Drosophila melanogaster: one gene and its partners. The protein of the gene in region 1 interacts with the protein of each later gene in a pairwise test. Each region holds a gene or a part of one and is shown in the gene's direction. Other genes may lie near its edges. The genes, in order: CG12645, Pus7 and Sik3.

Region 1 (6,432 bases):
CCCCTGTGCCCTGCCTTACATATGTGTGTGTAATTTACTTAGGAAAAGATACAGCAACGGATACGGATACATGTGGCACAGATACGCGGCTGGCAGACACGCCACTTGAACCCCTGATTGCGCCCGGTGACGGTCGCTGGGTTGCTTGGTCGGCAGGTCTTTGTATGTAAGATGATACCCTGTAAGCCAGTGGTGATAGTACCTAGCACATGACCACTTGGACACTCAAGAAATCTTGAGTAAAAAGTACTTTATTGCAAAATCGCAATGAAATAAGTTAATATATGGAAGTCAAGTTTTTCAATTCGACGCTATTTTCAACTGTTTGCATTTATTTTTTTTAATAAATATTTTAAGTGAAACACCGGGTATTGCGGCAGTCACTAATCCGGGGATTCAACGCTTTCTTGGCTGTTTTCTAACCGCCATTGTTCCCCGCGGCAAGCTGAGAGCTCTTGCGATGAGGCTAAAACTTATAATCATGGCATCATCAACAAAATTATCGTTTTGCCACAGACGGCACACACACACACGCACACACACACGCACACATGTGATGGGAAATGGAGGTCCTGCACAGATACACTCGCCATTTAAGAGCATAAAAGCGAGACGTGCTCGAAATGTGAATTACTCGTGCCCCAAAACCCTACCAAAAAAAAAAAAAAAAAAAAAAAAAACACACACACTGTTGCACTTTGAGTGCTTGAGAGTATGTGTGTGCGTGTGAGCGAGTTGATTTTGCTCTTTGGCTCCATTTTGGCTCATAACTTTAACTATTTTACACGAACCCAAGGAACATTTACTCGACTTTTTCCTTTGTTTTTCTTGCCCCTTATTTAGTCGCTTTAGTGTTCAGCATTTTTTTTTTTTTGGCTGAAGAATTTTGCGGATGAGGGTAGAGTTTTGTGGATCTGGCACCTTCAATATCTTTTCCTTCACTTCTTTCGGGCTTTTTTTTCTCTCTTTTGGCAAATTAACAAGCCAGCAGGAGGGTGTGAGAAGAGGCAGTTCAGCATCCCTTTTAAACATTGATTTCCTGGCGCCTAGGTACATGGAGTATTTCTACACTACAAACAATTCGTAATATTTCTCAAGCTTATGTTTTGCCAAACCAAAACTTGTACAAAACTTGCCATCTTCGGGTGAATATTTTTCCCAGGTGTACAAATGTAATTGAAGCATCGAAGAAATCGCAATTCGCACGGACGCATTTCCTCGCAAAAGCAAACAACAAATAGATATATAAATATATATGTATATACACGTATATATGTATGTATATTTGTATATAAAAAAAAAGTGAAAGAGGCAGATTATATGGGCGGTGGTGAAAGCGTGGTGAAAAGTGGGCGCTGATGGAGATGAAGATACGACTGCTCCATTCAGCAGCTGTGAACGGTGAAAACCTTTTTGGCGCTAATTGCAATTACACGAAATATTATTTGCACACATTTTCAGCCAAAGCCGCAATCAGTGCGACAGAGAAGGTGCTTCTGCTAGAGAGAGCGAGAGAGAGAGAGAGAGAGAGAGAGAGAGCTATAGGCGGTCTGTGCGAAAATAAGCTAACAGTTTAATCAGTTGAACGAATGTTGAGCCAAATCCCAAGACCCCCAAAAAACGAAGGCCAATCGTCGGGATTATCGAGCAAGGAGTGGCCCAAATGAGTGCTCTTAATTTGAATGTAAGAATTTAATGAACTAAATGAACTGCCAGGAATAAATGTAAATAAATAAATAATCCAATAATAAAGATACGCCCCTGTTAACCTTTAACAACTAACTTATTTATGTAGCTCCATTTTTAAACCCTGATAGCTGACCTTTAGAATGCATAAATAGACAAATGTCAGGATCCATAATGGAATGCGAACCCTTTTACAGATTTATTTGCCCGCCTCATACATTTATTTGCGTACCCAAGTCAGCACCTGATACGCGAGTTGGTCCCCATTCACTCCGCCGCTGTCAAATTCAATTGCAGTTGCTATTCACAATTGTCTGGCATGTCGGCCGATAAGCCCACGGCATGGCACTCGGACCCCACCCCCCCTTAACCCCTTGACCCCTATTCAATCCCCTATCACACCCCCCCCCCCCCCCATTGGGCCCACAAACAGCGTGCAATAAATCAAACATCAAAGCGATGAGCCAACTTGAAATGGACTGCAAATTTATGCAGCGACAGCTCTCAGTGCCCCGATCCCAAAAAAACCCGATTCCCATTTGAATGGCAGATGGCGGAACAACAACAGCAGGAGTAAGCAAATCAAAGGTTGGCACACCCTGGAATTCATAAATAAAATTTAAGACCTTAAAAAAAAAACAGGCAAATTTAATATCAGGAAAGTTCAGGCATTTAACGGACAACGATAAATGTTAGTTTAAGCAATGTAAAGAAGAACGTTCCTTTTTTTTTTTTGGATAAACTAAAGGTATATTTTTTTACCTAATCCAGATATGTCAGTTATCCGTATGCAAATGAAAGTTTTCATTATAATTTGCCGTATACCTGTTTAGTTTATTTGCGCCTGTATACTATTTACATGCATGCGATAAAGTTAATTAAATGCAAAGTGGCAAACAGAATTTCATTCACATTTTTCCATCCTCATCGTGTCGTTGGAAAATATTGAAAAAACTTGAAGGAAAACAGAAAAACAAAAATGAATACGCAAACAGGAATACATTGTGGAAAACTCTATGCGAGAAATAGCAACACTATAAGATTTTGATTCATAACATTCTATGCAACTCGTTTTAAAGAGATATTTATACACTTCAAATAATTTTAAGAAATTTTTGTAAAAATATTTACGTGTATTTTTGAGCATTTGAAAATTTGTGTTGCCAGTGCAAGCGGTCAGCAGCACATATTGCAAAAGTTATGAACAGGAAATGAAACGGAAGCTGACAATATTCTCCAACGACGATGAAATAAAGGTGATTCAGCTAGACCATTTCCATTTCAAGCACTTTTTGACCAACTGTGGAGTTTTCTATTGGGGTGACTCGTTGATATCGCTAGCAGCTGGTTAATTGGCCCAGAATGTTTCACTATCATCGACAACTGTTTTTGGCTGGTTGTTTCTTTTTTGCCAAGGAATAAAAACCATCGTAGGGCGAAACTGGCCCAACAGAAGGGTTTGGAATGGCCGAAGAGAAGCATCGCATGTTGTTCCAAGACCAGGATCCCGGCCAGGATCTGCAGATAGAGCGACCCATGTCCTTGTCGCCATCGGAACCGCCGACCTACTATGATGCAATGCAAACGTTTACGATTCAGAATAATTTGGATTATTCCAACGATCGGCGAAGAACCCTTTTTGCAGAACCCCAACATCTAAGGTCCAGGGTGGAGGAAATGCCGATGCCGATGCCGATGTCCCAAACGAAAGACGAGGTGAGCGTACAATCGGAAGGATTAGCGGACAACAATAGCATCGATCATCGTGCAATGCCACCAGTGAGAAGTAAGTGCGATGGTAACTATGAACTGAACACTCATTCGATTGCATATTTTGAAATTGTGTATTGGCCAGATTTCTTTATCCTAAGCCCGCAACCCAAACTGGGTAGCCAGGCGATGGACATCGTGTGCCCAGCTTGTGGTCAACGGGGAGTCACCCGTTTGAAGAGGTCACCTAATGCTCGGACTAACCTTTGGGCCCTCTGCTTGTGCACTTTTGGGTGAGTTGGGTATTTAAATTAGTTTGAAAATTTTAACTAACTTTTAACCCAAAACGTTGTTAGCTTCAGAAGTGCTAAGTTTCAAGTACTTAACACTAAATATGAACAAAATGATGAGTAAACTTTCAAAAATCGTATGAAATAATGGAAATAGATAAAGTAACTTTCGATTTACATACCTCGAACTTTGATATACTCATATCCGTATATATGTATCTATGTTTTTGTTTTCAGTTGGTGCTGCTGCGCTTGCCTGTTTCCGTATCTATGGAATGGCTGCCGGACAACGAATCATTACTGCTCCGCCTGCGAGATCTTTCTGGGCGCACATTATCCGAGGAGCTGCTGCTGCTGCTGCTGCCGGCGGCGGTAGTCCGGAAATATCCTGCAGGATCGCAGCCGGAATCCGGCCGCTAATTGTGAAAGTTTTCCGTGTGTGCGAATAAAGCTGAGTGGGGCGGCACGCGCTTCTGACCGCAAGGACTTGGCGCTTATTCGCTTGTAATGAGTAACGCAGTGCCGGGCGCGACCGGAAATTGTGCGCCGTCAAATCGAATTGCCTACCTAAGCCCATCGTCCTTCGTCCTCAATCCGCAATCCACAATCCACAATCCTTTCAACATCGGACACCATACACCGATTACCATTGCCATGCTCTGTACTGAACTGCCCTGTCGCCCAAATGATGCATAACTGGCCTAAACAAATTGCCTCATCATCACTCCGTTTCGCACATCCTGCCAACGAGTGCTGGTTGTTGTGGATGCTGTTCGTTATTTGATACCCTGCAAAAAAAAGAAGAGAGTATTCAATTTAGATACAATTACTTAAATATAACAATAAAATTATAAATATGTCTAAGAAACTATTATGTAATTGGGCAAAAGGGCAAATGCAATCTTTTGCCAAGAACTTATATACCCGAAATCGAGAAGAGTGTCCCCAGAATTTGAACCATCCGCAGTTGTTTGGCCTCCAGTTGCGCTTTTTTGTTTTCGAGGTTTCTGCCTATTTCAGTGCTTTGCGCGGCTTTGTTCAATTTTTGGTACTGCAATTGGCCAGCGGTGGCAGCAAATTCAATTAGCGCCTCGTACGTTGCAGCCTTCAGCGCAACATGGCCTTCGACGAATGGGCCAAAAACCGTTACTGAAAGCCCAGCTATGGATGGATGGATTGACTAGGCCACAGCTGCGGGGCCGAGAAACAAAAGGACAGAGCTCGACAATTAGTCGGTTCACGGTGCCGCCAACAACAATAATGACCAAAAGAGCATTATGGCCGAGCTGGTGGAATAATGTGGAAGCTAAAACTCAATCGCATCAAGTATACGCCGCTTTGTCCACGCATCAGTTTATTATTGCTACTGCTGATGCTGGCGCCGTTGCTGTCGTAACAAACAATGATAATCAAAAACAACAATAATAATCATACTTATAATAAATACGTAATGGTATAACAATGAAAATGAGGTGCCAACGGCAGTCCGTCCCAATAAGTTGGCCACTTTAATTAGATCAGCTTTTGCTTCTGGCTGGTCTTCTGTTTTTGCGCCTGCCCATTAATGTCAGCAGTAAACAATGCGTATCATTGTGTTAATTCATTTTCCTATACATAAAAGCTACTACAGCTGCGTTTGCTGTGGACGGTGGACGGTTTTATTATTTAGGGGATTTTGTGCTTTAATTTATGATTTTCTTTAAGTAATATGTAATATTGAGTATTGCTATTGCCAAAATCTGTTTTTTCCAAAATTTCGTCATAGAATAATCCGTTTTTTGCAACAACTTTACAACTAATTGTTCAAATTTGGATTGTCATATCTCGTTTAACTCGTATTTAAATTTCCATTCAAAGTGTGTTTAAAAGCAGAATTTGTAATATTTTTCCATTTTTTGCTACTTTCAGACGTCAAATAATCAGTTTTTTTGCAACAACTTGAAAAATAAGTGTCTGAATATGGAATGCCATACCTCGTTGAGCTCGTAATTAAATTTCCAATCAAACTGTGTTTAAAAATGGAAATTCTATTTTTTTGACATTTTTTGCAAATTTTGATGATGTTACCCCTTAAAAAAAATGCAAAAATTGACCCAAAAATTAATTTTCGAAAATCCTCCAGAAAGTGATAGGGTTCGTTAGCATTGGTAATAAGCTGCTCAAAACAGTTATTCTTACATTAATATGACCATTTTTAGCCAAGTTATGACGAAAATTCCAATTGTAAATATCAACTTTTTGGCTAAATCCGTTTTTCCGAATTTCGGCCATCAAATAATCAGTTTTTTTGGCATAACTTTAAAAATAATTGCCTGAATATGGAATGTCATACCTCGTTGTGCTTGTAATTAAATTCCCAATCGAACTGTATTCACAAATGGAAATTCTATTTTTTGACCATTTTTTGCAAATTTTGACGATGTTACCCCTTACAAAAAATGCGAAAATTGACCCAAAAATTAATTTTCCTAAATCCTCCAGAAAGTGATAGGGCTCGTTAGCATTGGTAATTAGCTGCTCAAAACAGTTATTCTTTCATCTTTATGATAATTTTTAGCCAATTTATAACAAAAATTGCCTTCGTAAATATCGAATTTTTGCCAAAAACGGTTATTTTGAATTTCGGTCGTAAAATAATCAGGTTTATTGTCACAACTTTAAAAATAATTGTCCAAATATTGAATGTAATGTCTCGTTAAACTCGTATTTAAATTTCCACTCAAACTGTATTTAAAAGTAGAATTTC
Region 2 (7,880 bases), on another chromosome or scaffold:
CAGCTAAGCGGAGGTTGCATAAATTATTAATACATTTTTATGGCTCTTTGGTGTCATTTTGGTCAGTAATTTATGTAGAATACGGCTGGGCCAACAACAAGAATCCGAAGAAGAGGAAAAAGCAGAAGGAGAAGTCGCACTCACACACACACACACACACAACACAGCCACACACACTGGAACACAAACGCGGGTCAAACAAGTCAAGCAACTTTTTTCACCTCTTTGGCCAATCTTCGGATTGCCTTCCTTTTTTCTCTTTTTTCTCCTCTTGTTATTAGTAGCATTTAGTTAGGAATGCACCAAAGCGAGAACGTATCGGAAAAAATGTACCAACAGCCACAAGTGCACAATTGAACAAAAATTCGGTTGGAAAATGGTTTTGGCCTGGTTTTCTGGACCAAGACGAAGCGAATGAGAGACGTTGTGTGAAAGAGAGTTTCGAAAATTCCCGATCGCGAACAGATGTCAAAGCCAGTGGACGAGTTCAAAGGCCATTTGCCGCAAATCTCCCATGTTTGTGGTCCGCATTTTATTTTTGGTAACTTCACAGCCTTTTCGCTTTTCTTTTTGGCCTGGTGAGCAATAAATTTGCAAGAGCCACCGCTACACACGCACGAGCACTAACACACACTCACTGTTTTTGTTGTTGCTCGAAACGGAATCCGCGTTTGTTGTTCAGGTGTTGTACGAGCCGCATGCAAAATTCAACTGTGGCGAGAAAATCGAGACTCGAATCGAGAGAGCGGCTTAAAAACAGGTACACAACTATGTGGCGCCACAAAATCCAACAACAAGTGGTGCCACCTGGTCACACTGCACGATCGGCATGTTGCCAGATGGTTGAATACACCGCGAAAAAACTGTGATTTATTTTGGTAATAATCTTAGTTTAATAATTTATATACATAAACAACATAAAACGACTAATGCAAATGTTTACATTTTCCTCGAGCGTAGCAAATATATACCCAACCAATAAAATGTATCTTTTATTTATTTTACGCAAATAAATTTGTCTTTTTGAATATTTTATTAAAACTTGAAAATAAGCTACTAAAGATAAATCTTAGACTAAACGTTAAAACAATACTTAACCGAATTAATTTGTACCTGAAACGTTGGGTCCATAGCCTTCGCATAGCCTTATAGCTTTTCTTCGCCACCTAAGGGAATAAAAGAGGGTAGAGTTCCCAGTTGAGGACGTCGTCGAGGGCAAGGGGCACCCGCTTCCTTCTGATCCTCATCCTCCGCTTCAGGTTTCTTCTGTTCCACATCATCTCTAGTCAATATTGCTTCCGCTGGTTCCTTGTGGGACCCAAAGTAGCGTGAACTGGTGGGCAACTCATCCGCTGTAGACGATTCTTTCGCGGTATCCGTGAAGGCGACAGGTTTACTGCCCAGTTTGGGACGCGACTTGACTTTGGCCAATCGCTTTGATGGCGACTTCTTACAGAACACGCACCTGGGTAATTCGCACTTGCCCTTGCGCTCCAACTCGGGACAGGAAAACTCGTGACGTTTGTTGCACTTAAAATGTTTTGGAGTTAATAGGTTTTCAATGAAAATAAGTGGCAGACCTATTTACCTCGGCAGCCAACGGACAGTAGCCGCGCACAAAGTCAATACAAATCTCGGTCTTGCTGCTCAGCTTCTTGTGTAGGTACGGGCAATCCTCGCGAACGCAAACGCCGCGCAAATAGTACCGACAGACGGGCATCTTCTCCAGCGTGACATTATGGGACAGCAGGCATTTGGGTTTGGTGCACTCCCCGCGCAGAAAGCTGCAAGTAAATGATTTCAAAAAGATAACCGCATTGCGAATTTCGAACATTGGACGCCATCGAAGGTTTAGCACTCTTCGCTTGGCCAAGGACAAACCTGACACAGATGGCAACCTGCCGCTTGTCGTGCAGCTTGCGGCACTTGCCACGACTATGGGCAACGCACTTGCCCAGCTTCTGGAAGATGGCACAAGGCACATTGGTCTTCACCAACGATTTGTTGAGCAACGTCAGGCTTCTCTGTTTGGCGGTGATTAAATGGGCTCGCGACACGTGATTACTGGTGCGTACAAAGACATTCAGTGCCTTTGGCGAAGCAACGTAGGTAAGGCCGCCGATATCGATGCGCCTCAGGATGCTACGATTTACGCTACTCTGGGTAGCACCAGTTGATGAGGTTGAAACTCTGGTCAGGCGGCAGCCGGAAGGATCTAAAATGAACTTATTGCCGCTGACGAAGAGCGTTCTGCCGGACAAGGTACGCTGCAAGGTCCTGGGACTCTCCGATTTGGCTACCCTAGCGGAGGAACTGGCATCCAGCTTGGTTATTTTGTTCTTCGATATCTTCTTGTACATCACACCGTGTATGCTGACCATGCTCAGGGATTTGTTAACGCCCAGCTTCAGCGCCTGCGGCTTGGAGCTGTAATAAAAGTTAAGTTAGTTGATGTACATTACCTTGTCTAACAGAGTCGCCTGTTGCTTGACTATTTTCAACTGCTCGTATCCGATTTTCATTACCTCAGTTTTCTGTTGGGCTGCGCTTCATTGGTGCGTCTCAGGGCGTACTGGCCCACAAACTCGCGTAGAGGACGACGCTTTTTGACCAGCGGTGTGCAGGTAAGTGATATGGAACGCACTAATTTGTACCTAGTGCGTTTAGCAGGTGGAGGAGGATGGAGGGCAGCAACCGCTGGCGCTGCTTTCAATGCTCCTTGCCTCACAATTTTCCGCTTGGAAATGCTTACCAATGGAGGCTGCACCAGGCTGGAAACAGTGGGCACAGGTACTGAAGCAGCGAGCTTCACCGCCGGACCACTTGCCACCACTGATGGCTTGCGCACGAGACACGTGCTCACTTTGCTGATGATCTTGGCGGGCGGAGGAGGTGGAGTCGCCAGTAGGTGTATCGTTGGATCCAGTCGATAGTGCGAGGCGGAAACTTGTTGCATCATAAGCTGCTCCTGCTGCTCCCGCTGGTATTGGTCGTACATGGCCCGCTGGCGATTCAGAAAGTGCGGATTGATATGGATCGCGGGCTGAGGCTGCAGTGGCGCCTGGAACGCCTGGAAGGGCACTTGGAACGGCAGCTGATGCGCCGTTTGACCTTGCAGCTGAAAATTCGGATTGATGTACACCTTTCGCGACATAGACGGCTGTGCCTCGTCGGCACTTATATGCGGCAACATTTCGTTGCTTCCTTGGCTTAACCTAATGAATTAATCCGTTCCAATTTTTGGTTATTTCTCAATTTTTACACTTCTTTCCAATGCTTCTTTGTATTGCACATTTTCTTTACATTACGTACGCAGTGTGAACTTGATCTGGGACCAGAAAAATACCAAAAAATACTGAAGTATAAATGAGGAAAATATACTAACAAAAGTTTTATGATATGTTAATATTAAGCATGTTTTTAAATTATATTTATCATACAATATAAAAAAAGAGGAATATTTGCGGATGAACTTATGCTAACAACCATTTAAGAAATCTATTTCCCGAATAAATGGCACATGCGGCCACCCTAATAAACCTAAAAAGCTTATTGTGAATGGGCACATCATATGTTGTGCAAAACGTGGATTTCATTTGCCGACAAATTTTCAAACGCGAATTTTGAACCAAGATGGGCAAGGATCGGGGCAGAGGACGTAGGAATAACCATTCCGGGCCATACAACAAGAGCAACTGGCGTGGTCAGAAGAAGGATCGCCCCCAAAACAATGGTGGCGGTCAGCGCAACAGGTACAAATTAAATCCCATAAATAATATCGTTGTTAACCGGCGTTTTTCGTTGGACAAAAGTGCTCCACAACAGAAATCCACGCTGCTGGAGACCCAAGTGGGCATTACGGAGTTCACTAACCCGGAGGCACCTGGCTTCACGGGAATACTTAAGTCTCGCTTCTCTGATTTTCACGTGAACGAGATTGATAGCAATGGAAAGGTTCTGGAACTGAACGATCTCAGTGTGCCTAAAGTGGCTATTGTGGGTCTGTATTCACCAATTATCCTGCATACTTGCTTATGCTCATGCATCTCATACTATAACAGCTGTGGCCGAAAACGAACTGGACAACTGGCGGAAAGAACTGGAGGCAGTAATCGGCCCGGAAGTTTGGCAGGATATAGCCAATCTGGCTAAGGCCAAAAACGATCCCGCGATCGAGCAAAAGGTGGAGATTGATGTGACCACTCTGGATAAGGAGCAGCGAACACAAGTCCACCAGATGATAAAACAGCTTTACAAGGGCAAGCTACTGTCCACAACCATTGGACAGCAGCAGGCTAAGCCGAAGGTCCAGGAGGAGGCATCTTTGGAAAATAAGGATGCGGCTGAAGGTGAAACCTCAACCCAGAAAGACTCACAGGTGCCGGCAGAGGAGAAGAAGACTATAAAAGTATTTAAACCAAAGCCAGGACGCGGTTAGTAGAAATGATTACCCAGGGAATTCCTTTTTTTATGCATCGAATTCCATAGGTGACAAACGCTGGAGCTTTCCGGCGGATTACGTGACCTTCCTGGTGCACAAAACCAATTTGGTTACCAGCGATGTGGCCTCTACTTTAGCAGCGCGACTGAAGTAAGTTTGATCAAATTTTAAATGCTTTAATATACTAAGAAAACATTATTTTTCTACAGCTTACGACCATCGCAGGTGAACTACAGCGGCATCAAGGACAAGCGGGCCAAAACCACCCAGAAGTTCTCCGTCAAGCGTCGTACACCAGAGAGCATTTTGGTTGCAGCTCGCTCCCAACGGAATGTTCATATCGGCAACTTTGGATTCGAATCCAATACACTGAAGCTAGGCGATTTGCAGGGCAATCGTTTTCGTATTGCCTTGCGACACATTGCCAAGGAGAAGCGAGAAGAAATCGAGCAGGCACTGCAATCATTGAAGGAACGCGGCTTCATCAACTACTATGGCTTGCAGCGGTTCGGCAACAGCGCCAGTGTCCCAACCTATGAGGTGGGTGTTGCTCTGCTCAAGCACGATTACAAACTGGCCTGCGAACTGATCCTGAAACCCCGGGACTCGGATGTGGAGTTTTTGCGTCCCATACGCGAGGAGTGGTGGAAAAATCGCGACTCCGCGGCGGCAGCTGCACAGATCTACGGCGAAAAGTTCATCGAAAAGAAGCTGCTGGACGGCTTGGCCAGATTTGGTGAATCAGATTACTCATCAGCTCTGCGGCAGATACCACGCAACATGCTCATGCTATATCCACATGCTTACCAAAGCCTGATCTTCAACAGGATAGCGTCTAGACGAATTAAGGAGTTCGGCTTGAAATTGATACCCGGGGATTTGGTTTATGTGGAGCAGGATCAGTCGGAAGCCTCGGAAGAGCAGGCGCAGCAGGGCGAGGCCTTGGAAGAGCAAAAAGAAGAGGAGCCTAACGATGAACCTCTGGAAGTCCCCGAAGGGGATGAAGCCATCGAAGAGGAGTCGATTTTCAAGCGAAAGGTTCGCCCGCTCACAGCAGAAGACATCGCTAGCGGCAAGTACAAACTTTGCGATGTGGTCCTTCCCCTGCCTGGACACGACATCACCTATCCCAGCAACGAGTGCGGCGCGTGGTACGAGGAAATGCTCGCCGAAGTGGGTCTTTCCTCGGATCAACTGAAGCACAAGGAGAAGACATACGCATTGGCTGGCGCCTACCGCAAGATGATCATATCGTCCAGTGATCTCAAGTGGAGCTTTAGAATGTACAATACGCCGGAGGATACACTTATCGCCTCCGACTGGGAGCTATTGAAGAACATTCCGGTTGCACCAGAACCAGCTGAAGCTGAGGCCAATTACATGGCACTCCTGCTGGAGTTCTCGCTGCCCACGGCTGCCTATGCCACCATGTTTTTGCGAGAACTCTTAAAGCAGGACACATCGTCAGCATCGCAAACGCAGTTGGAGAAACAGGCAATGGCTAAGGAGGACAATGAAAAGAAGGCGGTAGGAACCCAGGAGGAACAAATGGAGGTGGTAAAGGAGGTGGCCGACGAGGATGGGCAGGAAACTGAGCAGGCGGAAACTCAGGGGGCCGAGGAGGCGGTGTAGGCCAAGTGAGATACCGAAAATCAATATGCTCAGGAAATCAATTTTACGCGCGCTTCGTATCCAACTTCGAACCAACCACAACAATAACAATGCGCACGTGAGGACGAGGGCTGCTCCCTCTCTCTCTCTCTCTCACTGTCGCATCCCGTGGCTCGCACCCCGTCAATCTCAATCGCTCTCTCTCTCTCTCTCTCTCTCGCCTGGGAGAGTCCTTTTGGTCCTGTTTCTTTGACTGCGATTTTATTCGTTCGGTGGCCACCAACGCGAAAGCTCAAGCGACGCGCTGCGCAGTTTCCCCAGCTCAAAAGTCCAAGTCGCACGGTTTTCCCCAGCGTTCTCAATGAAGAGCAATAACAAATTATTAATTGACAACAAATAACGAACAAGCACGGTCCCCCAAAAATCCACGGACTCCATCCAATTCATCCAGTGATTTAAAGAGATTTTAAACCAAATAAAAAAACCAAGAGGCGAGACAAGGTGAATTTCCAGTTAAATGTAGCATTTAAACGTTTTGGGCGCGTACTTTGAAAATCCATTTATTAAGGCGTAAGTATACATTCGAGTCTACAAATTGTTTATAACTTTTACGACAACACTGAACTAAACAATCACAGAACTGTACAATATTTGATTTTGGCTCTGGCAGCCTATTGATTTTTGTTGTGTGCTTGTGCTGGAAATCAATCGATAATACGGTGTTAATACCAAGAGCTGAGTCCGGGGATTGGGAATGGGAATGGTCTAGTGGGTAGGTGGCTGGCCGTAGGAGTAGTTGGTTCATATAGTGGCTTAGTGCGTCGGAGGGTTCACCATGTACGTGTGAAGTAAGGGGGACTCAGTCGGTACGAGGGGGTAGTGGTAGTGTGGCATCAGTCGTTAAGGGTGCACGACGCTCCTCGCTCGTTATGTTTTTGTTTCGGCCCACTGCTCCCCCTGCGGCAGTCGTCAAATTAATAAACTAAATGCTTGTTTTGGCGTCGTCGTCGCCCTGTCCCCGTGCTGGAGGCCTTCCCCCGATCCGATCCAGACATGGATATTGGACATGTTATTGCTTGCGCGCGCATTCTTTGACTCTTTGACCAGTTCCCAGCAGCAGCTGCGTCATAGTAGGAGTTTTTTGGCGTGGCTCAATTCGATTTTCCCTCGCCTACTCCACCTGCTCCCCGCCCGCCTGTTCAAAGTTGGCTTTTGCCACACAGATAGCTTCCTACTGCATTACTATACACTCCCGCAAGTCTCTGGCTCTATAAATGACCTCTGGCGACAATTGATGCTTTGTTTGGGGTTTACCAGTTGTCTTGAATTTTAAATTGCTAATCTTAAGCCTCAAATAAAATAAACTATTTAATCACAGGCGTGTTAATGTTTTATCATATCATACAATGCAATAGTTAGTTTGTATAGTAAACTTCATTAGATGCGAAGATTAGGTTAAATGAATGGATTAACAATATTTTTTAGGGAAGCATACATTTGGAAAAAGAAGTTATTTAGTATTCGCTTAAGATAATTGTCCAGATATATAAACTATAACAAAAATGACTTAATTATTAAACAATTATATGATCAGTGATGTTTGCTACTTTTGATATCCTATCACGGCATGTATGTATTTAACTTATCATCATGGCAATCTTCCTTTATAACTATATCATCTTGGCAATCTTCCTAAATAACTATATCATCGATTTGCTCGTCGTTCAGGGCGCGCAGATTGCATTTGCATAGGTAGGCCAGAATGCGTTTCTCCGCCTTAATTCGGTTTGCTTCGCCCAGTCCTTCAAGCAGGGCTTCTATCCTCTTT
Region 3 (7,422 bases), on another chromosome or scaffold:
GAAAAGTTTATTGAATGTGGTTTATCATGTCCTTGATTAAGTGGCTTGATTTTAGCATTGGCTGCCGTAAACATGGGAGTCTCTGTATCTGAATCGCAACTGAGGCCTTTTATAAAACGATCTGCTAATTTTCCGAAATTGAAGCTTGCACATGTATTAGGTTCCAGATGGGTTTTCTGATTCCACGAATCCTTTTGGTTTTGATGCCCTCGCTTCAATTGTTTTCTTTGATTCTGAATAGATTCTCGCTGTTTGAGTAGCTCACGTTGCAGTTGCAACTGCTCTAGTTGCTGACGCTCTTTTCTCAGTGTATTTAGTTTGGATTTCTTATTTGGCTTTGGCGGAATATCAGGCAAAGGTTTAATTTTCTCCACTATGGGTTTTTGATATGTGGAGGTGGGGGTGGGAGATGTGCTCCTGATTGTCACTTTCTTCGTTTTTGGAGGAGGACTGGCAGCAAAGTAATCCCCATTGAGCTGCTGACCAGCTCCAGTTCTTGAAGAATTCTTCAGAATGCCAACAGGTGCTGCCTTCAGCTGCTGTTGCTGCTGCAGTAGAAATTGCTTGTGTTGCTGCTGCACTTGATACTGCTGTTGTTGCCACTGCAAAGGACTAACTGCACCCGGATAGTTGAACAAATTTCCTTGATTCAACTGAAGATGTTGCTGCTGCGACGCGGATGCAACTCCCACTGCTGGAACACCACCGTAGCCTTGATTTTGACAAGCAGCTAAGATGCAACCGGGTGTCAGCAGAGCTGCCTTAGAAACACTTCGACTTGGATAGGATCCATTGCTGGCGTTTTGATAGCCCCTTTGAAATTGCATTTGAGGATGCTGCTGCAGTCCGTAGTTTGGTATGAAGCTCTGAATCGAAGCGCTTTTTCGCTGGGATTTCATTAGCTGCCCTCGCAAACGACTCAATTTCCGGCTACTGACTTCCGGCGGAGCTAAAACCGCCATTCGCGGCATGGCGCCACCAAATTTGTTGCACACGGAATGCCAATATTCTGGCATAGCGGCAACTAATGGAGCTCGGGCGAATTGCTGCTGCTGCCACAGCTGCTGATAGGCATTCATCGAAGCCTGCTTGGCCGAATTAGTCAGTACCCTTCTCCGAACCATGCTGGATTTAATGGATTCTTATTGATTCGCTTGAGGTTTTGTTCTTCAACTGCTGACTCTGAAAGTTTCTGCTGGCTTGCTTTGCCGTTGAATAGTTTTTTTTTCTGGTTTAATTGGGGCTTGTGGGTTCATTGAAAATTTTGGATGCACTTTTGGTGCCATATCTGTTATTGGAAAAACCCTGACAATTGGTAAACGGCCTGCTATGAAATGTTTGTTTATAAGGCTATAGAACTGCAATATTTTGTTCATTCTTGTGATAAACAACATATTTTTATCAAAAAAAAAAAAAAAATTTATTTGTCCATTCAAGTAATATAAAACTTTCAATCTTAAATGTATTTTCAAAATATGGTTTTCAAATTAATTTAAATCGTTTAAATTCTGTCTTATATATATTCCTTAGTTTCTCGCAGTGGTGCACAAACTTTGAAATGACGTCACGCGACTCCTGGTGCGTAACTCATTTGGTCCTCTCGCTCATTCTTACTCTCTCTCTCTCTCCACCTACGCAATTTCCGTTTTAGTGGTGTAGTGAAATTCCCGGCTCCATTTTCATTCAGGTGGCTGCTGGTGGAAAGTTGAATCAACGGCCAGCTGGAAGGCATTCATTCATGGACGGGGTCCTTCCAAGATGCCACTTGGTTTCGTGCGTATTCCAAGCTGCGCAGGAAGTAGAAATTTCCGTTACAAAAGCAAGCGTCGAAAAGGACTTTCATGAACAGACAATCAAATAAACTCATTTCATTTACAAGTTTCAAGTGAACATAATCCAGTTTTCAGATTGTTCTATATTTTCCATAGATTTTTTAAGTTTTATTTCTCAAGAAAAATGGTCTCCTTTGGCGGTGTGGCAAAACTATTGAGCAGCTTCGAGTGCTGTGCCAGTTCGTGGGTCAAAGCCGTAAATCCCGGATGGTACGAGGCTCGTGAGATTCCGAAGACCATCCTGATCCAGAAAGTGCGACAGGTGCCCCAGAATACCAGGGTGATACGCCAGAGACCCCAAACCGCGGAGCCGCCCAAAAAATCCTCCAGCCAAAAGCGCCAACTTTATCTCTAAGCTCCAAAAAGTTGGGGAAATAATGACTCATTGGTTAGTATTTTACTAAAGCAATTGCTCTGATTCTTACCATATACTCTTTGATGGACGCCTGAAAGTATGCAGAGAAATCCAACCTTTTGTTAAGACTTTAAGCCTTGTAAATTGATGCAGAGAGGACTTCAAAATCTTACAAGCTATTAACTTTTATTTTATTACTATAAATTTAATGTTTTGTTTCTTTGTTTGCTTCCAGGCTAAACATTGTTTATATATTTTCAACAAGTCTAAAGCACACATATAATTTTCATTTACAGATTTAAGTGTTTTAATCGAATGTACATTGTATTGGTAAATATGTAACGAATTTAAATCTGCATTTAGTGTTGGCTAATATCCGCTTTCTTCCACAGAGTTGTCTCGCAGTCGTCATCGATTTCGTCATTTTGTCTGCTTCGCTACACGGCCACACTGAGTCGGTGCCGAGTTTTTGCTTCGCGAGCAGGTGGTGTTGTCCAATCAGAATCGCCGTAGACGGCACGAATAACAGAAAAAAATTCCAATAGAACAGCCGAGGGCGATTATTTATGTGTGTTCATGTTAAATGTTAAATGCAAAATTACGCGTCGCACGCTGCGCCCACGCGATTTCGAATCCGCATCCGATTGTTCAGTGCAAACACACACACACCAACCAAGTGAATATAATATGTAAGCGAAAGGCAAGAAGCCAGCAACAAAGCGCCAGTGATAAGCGCAATAATATAAATGCAATATAGTATAAATTCAACGTGAAAAGAAATCTCGCCAGCGAAATACAAAAAAAAGCGGAGGAAGCGACAAATGGAAATCAAGTAAAATGAAGAAGAGCGGAGAGATAGAAATCGTAATGTGTAAGCGCGACCAGAGCGTATGAAAAAATCGAAAAAAAAAAACGGTGGAGCGAAGATTAAATAAATTTACAAGTGTGTTTTGTATTTGACCAGCTTTTGTGAGTGTTGTTATTGTTGTTTTTGCGGAGGCTGAAAGAAAAGCGGAATAACAACAACACAGCAGCAGCAGCGCTGTTGCATGTGTGTGTGTGGTGAGCAACTATTTCCAGTGATGAGCGCGTGACACGATATGCGCTTCCACCAGTTCACAGCATAGAGTGCAATAAAAGAGCTCGTGACCCACGCGGCCATCTCGAATGGCCACCGAGATGCGGAAGCTAAAAACATATTCATGAATGGCAATTATGTGACGTGCGCTGCGGCAAGTTTTACCTTCGATTCCGAGCCGTGGAAAAAGGAAAACAAAAAAAATGCGCGTACGATTTTCCACTTTGGAAGTCGTGACGTTTTCCCATACATAACGGTGTGAGCGTGTACGAGTGTGTGTGTGGTTGTATGTTTGCGGTGGGGGCTCTCTGTCTCTCTCACTCGTTCGCTTTTATACGCATGTGTGTGTGTGCGTGCGTACGTCATTGCAACTCCGGTAAAACGCAAATAAGGGGCAGCGAAAAGCCAATTGCCGTTGAGTGGTCTAATTGGACACCTTGCGTATGCATTGTTTGTACTATTTACCATTTGGCGACCCGTTATCAATTGCAGGTGCTTTCTCCTGTAAACAGTGTGTGGTGTGTGTGAGTGCGTGCGACCTCGACAAGTTCTTTTTCATTCTTTTGTCGTCACACATATGCAATTGCACGGGAATAAAAGAAGTGTAGTGATCTTGAATAAAATCTTGTTTCATTAACTACAACACTGAAAGTCGAAATGGACATTCCTAAAATGAATTGATAGCTATTTTTGTATGGATTGAGCAAAAGCGAAAAGCCCAAATTCGTTTTGCTCAATCTTTACTGTTTTTTTAAAATTACTACTGAGAAGCAAAGAGTACGTTCTCATTATGTTTTGAATTTTAAATGAGTTTTGAGATTTTTTTTATCTCTAAAGCAAATATGTCACTGCGAATTAACCCAAGAAACCTTAAAAATGTTTTTATAAATGTTTTAAAATATATTTAAAAATCTGTAAAAATAACGTTCAATAGTATTTCTTTCAGTTTAGTTGGCTATTTCTTGGAGTTACAAAAATTATTTTGAAATTCATAGCACAGATCACATTTTCTCTTTGTGTATGCCCCAGTAATTGTAATTTTCATACGGGTTGCGGTAGTTTTCCTGTAAAATTCCTTGACTCCTTGGAGTCCCAAGCCCCCAAACACATACACAAGCTGTTGCTGCGCCCCCGCTCACGCACACATGCAAATGGGCGCCCTGCTGATAGTGCCTTCTCCCTCTTAGCTTTGTCAGTCGATGGAGAACCCACGATTGTCTCTCTTCTCGCATATTTGCTTTGCTCCGTCGCCCTATCCCTTTTTCTCTGCCCACTACCCACCGTTCGCCACCCCCACTCCCACTCGCCCCCTCTCTTTCCGTCTGCTTTTCTGTCTGGCTTTGGATGCTGTGTAAGTCCAAGTTCTCTAGTTGTTGTTGCTGCTGCTTTTGGTTTTTCGGCTCTCTTTTGCTTTCGGCTTGTTGCCTCATTTATTTTACTTGTCGTTTCTTTTTTGCCTTTCGCTTGCTGTTGTTTTTATTTTTTTAATCATTTTTGTCTCTCCGATTTGGTAAAAAAGAGTCAAAACAACTGCTAGTTATCAGCAAAATTGGCCAGATACGTTGAATACCCAACTCTTGCTTCAAAAGCAGTTTTAAAAGCGTTTTTTTCAAGTAGTAGGCACTTTTATGCTACTAAATGTTAAGGTTCTCTATGTTTATTTAAGGATATATTTACTGTAGCAGTTTAAAATCGGATAGTTCAAAGATTTACATATGTATAGGTTCAAATCACACTTTGCTTCAAATCAGTCTTTTGTATAATTCAATACTTTTTAACTTCCATTCAGCGAATTAAAGCTAGACTTTAATAATGATTCAATAAATTATTTAAATTATTTATAGTTTAAAAAAAATAATGAATAGAGTAACTCCTCTTTGAGTACACCGTGCGATACATATATAGTGGATTTTTAGCACCTTTGACCCGGTGACGTCTTTTACATCCCCACCACATAGTGCTGCGTGCTCTGTTTCCCTCTTACAGTCGCTCCCTCTCGCTCTGCGCTGGAAGTGTGTGTGGCTGGCTGGAAGCGAGGTCGCAGCCTCCCCGGCTTCAGTTAGCCGGAGAAGTATCTTCCAGGTTGGAAGTTCATTCAGTTTTGACTTTTGACTCCGTCCGCTTCGTACTTCGCGTGGTTCGGTCTGCGGTATGCCATTCGCTTGCTAATTCCACAAAAATTCTACAACTGTTTTGTGTCTTTCCACTGATAAATGCAAATAAACAATAGGAAAGCGTACGCGAAAACCTTTCAGAAATGTGAGAAAATCGGTGGATGTGAGAGGAAGCGAGAGGGTGAGGTGTCCAGCTGCCGCGGCTCTTTTCACACCCGCGAAATATCACGAGAAAGTTTTGGGGGAAAACAATTTGTTTGGATTATGCGAGTGTGTGGCGAGTGTTGGTTGGGTTAATGTTTGATCGTCGTCGTCGCCGCCTGCTTCCTCTTCTTCGCACACACTCTGGTCTAAATTGATTTCAATGAGCTTTTTGACGACTACCCCTCTCTGTTCCCCACCGCTATCACCGTCCCTTTCGCTTCACGATTATGTGCGAATGTGGCTGTGCAAGTGCCCGGTTTTCATACGACCTTGATGTTGTACATTAACCCATTGTGAGCCCCTATTACTCGCTGTCTCTTTCGCGCGATCAGCTTACAAAAAAAAAAAAAACAGACATGGGCCCTGTTTTCTTTTTTTATCGTGGTCTTAACGCGCTTCATTTTCTTAACGTTACACTGAAAACTTAAAACTATTCCTGCCTAATAAAAATATGTTCATTGAGTAAAATATCTACTTTTTCGTATTTGGAAAAATATCTTGAAAGTATTCTGAAAAAAAATTCTGAGATAATGTACTTTTTAAGCATAACAAAATTTTTTAACTAGTTTACTTCAAAAGTTCCGTTTTTTATGAACATACGCTGAACCAAAAATGTTATCACCAAGTTTTTTTGAAAGCTAAAATAATAAAATAAAATGAAATAAAAACATTGCCAGCGCTTAGAAATCAAAGTACAAAAAGCGGTTATGGCTGGAAAAATATTCATGTGCCTTTTGTTTTCTTTGAGATTTCTGCTCGAATAGATAACACTACTGCTCTCTGTTTTCATTAGTTTATTTCTTTTTCTCTTTTTGCTATCTTTGGTGTTTGTTTTGCTCATTAAACCACACGCACACATGCGCCACGCCCACCCGCGATAAAGAAAAATAGAAATGAAAACCCCAAGGTCAAAAACTAGACAAAGTGAAATACTTATTTAATAATTTTCCCTCTCTTCCCTCAAGACGGTGACAAAAAGTGCAAAATCGAAATGTGAAAAGTAATTTGCGTTCGAACAAAGAGCCATTAAATCGAGACTTGAAGGCGTCGTAAACCAAAAAAATATATATACATATATTGAGAACAAATAAAACGTTCGAGGAAGTGTCGCTTCAATAAATAAAAAAAAAAAAACTAAAGAACAAAGTGAGCATTGGAGTTGCCTGGTGGGCATGGCCCACTGCCCGCCGAGAATCCGCTGGAAAGTCCGAACGAGAAGCTGCCATTGACCTCTTAATCGAGTTAAGTGAATATTTTAGAGTCCGCGCAAACTCTACACAACTCACACAATCCACTGTTGCTGGCGGCGGCTCCCCCGTCTCCAAACTCCCGGATCCCCAACCAGTTTCCCGCATCCCGTCATCCCAATTCTCCGTTCTCCATTCTCAATTCTCCGGTTCACCATTCTCCGGTTTGTTAGTCTCGCCGCCAGCAAATGAACTCTCGCGTTCGCGTTTGAACTGCGCGACAAAAGAAAATGCATATTAAGTGAATTTCCTGTGCGCGAAAAGCCAATTACGCATCCGCAAGAATCCTCATCCTCCTACGGCAAAAAGAGAAAAAGGGAATACACCGACGCAGCTGCGACGATGGCCACCACACCAACGGCTGGGCCAGCAGCAGCTCCTCCAACGTCCTCAACGCCGCAGAACTACAAGGTGCCATCGACCAGCAAGATATCCGTGGACAAGCTCCTCCGGGTCGGCTACTATGAGCTGGAGAAGACCATCGGCAAGGGCAACTTTGCAGTGGTCAAGCTGGCTACCAACATTGTGACCAAGACAAAGGTGAGTTTCCATGCAAATACCTCAACTGATTAACTGACTAATCTTGGCAACT

The links.
Region 2: the proteins of CG12645 (region 1) and Pus7 interact in a two-hybrid assay, tested with the Drosophila melanogaster proteins (one large-scale study listed by BioGRID).
Region 3: the proteins of CG12645 (region 1) and Sik3 interact in a two-hybrid assay, tested with the Drosophila melanogaster proteins (one large-scale study listed by BioGRID).

Annotation. Positions count from the first base shown.
Region 1 is NC_004354.4:10,150,462-10,156,893, forward strand, and holds CG12645 (uncharacterized protein), read left to right. Parts: upstream 1-3,150; coding exon 3,151-3,484; intron 3,485-3,541; coding exon 3,542-3,689; intron 3,690-3,868; exon of another isoform or gene 3,869-3,923; coding exon 3,924-4,062; 3' UTR 4,063-4,548; downstream 4,549-6,432.
Region 2 is NT_037436.4:8,506,452-8,514,331, forward strand, and holds Pus7 (pseudouridine synthase 7), read left to right. Parts: upstream 1-3,551; 5' UTR 3,552-3,633; coding exon 3,634-3,752; intron 3,753-3,812; coding exon 3,813-4,000; intron 4,001-4,061; coding exon 4,062-4,433; intron 4,434-4,488; coding exon 4,489-4,591; intron 4,592-4,650; coding exon 4,651-6,073; 3' UTR 6,074-6,556; downstream 6,557-7,880. Other genes in the region: ZC3H3, read right to left, coding at 1,147-1,530, 1,589-1,784, 1,882-2,427, 2,526-3,193; CG6683 (uncharacterized protein), read right to left, coding at 7,745-7,880.
Region 3 is NT_033778.4:18,685,493-18,692,914, forward strand, and holds the start of Sik3 (Salt-inducible kinase 3), read left to right. Parts: upstream 1-2,639; 5' UTR 2,640-3,058; exon of another isoform or gene 3,059-3,156; intron 3,157-6,548; 5' UTR 6,549-7,172; coding exon 7,173-7,370; intron 7,371-7,422. Other genes in the region: CG44433 (uncharacterized protein), read right to left, coding at 1-1,124; CG42855 (uncharacterized protein), read left to right, coding at 1,957-2,187.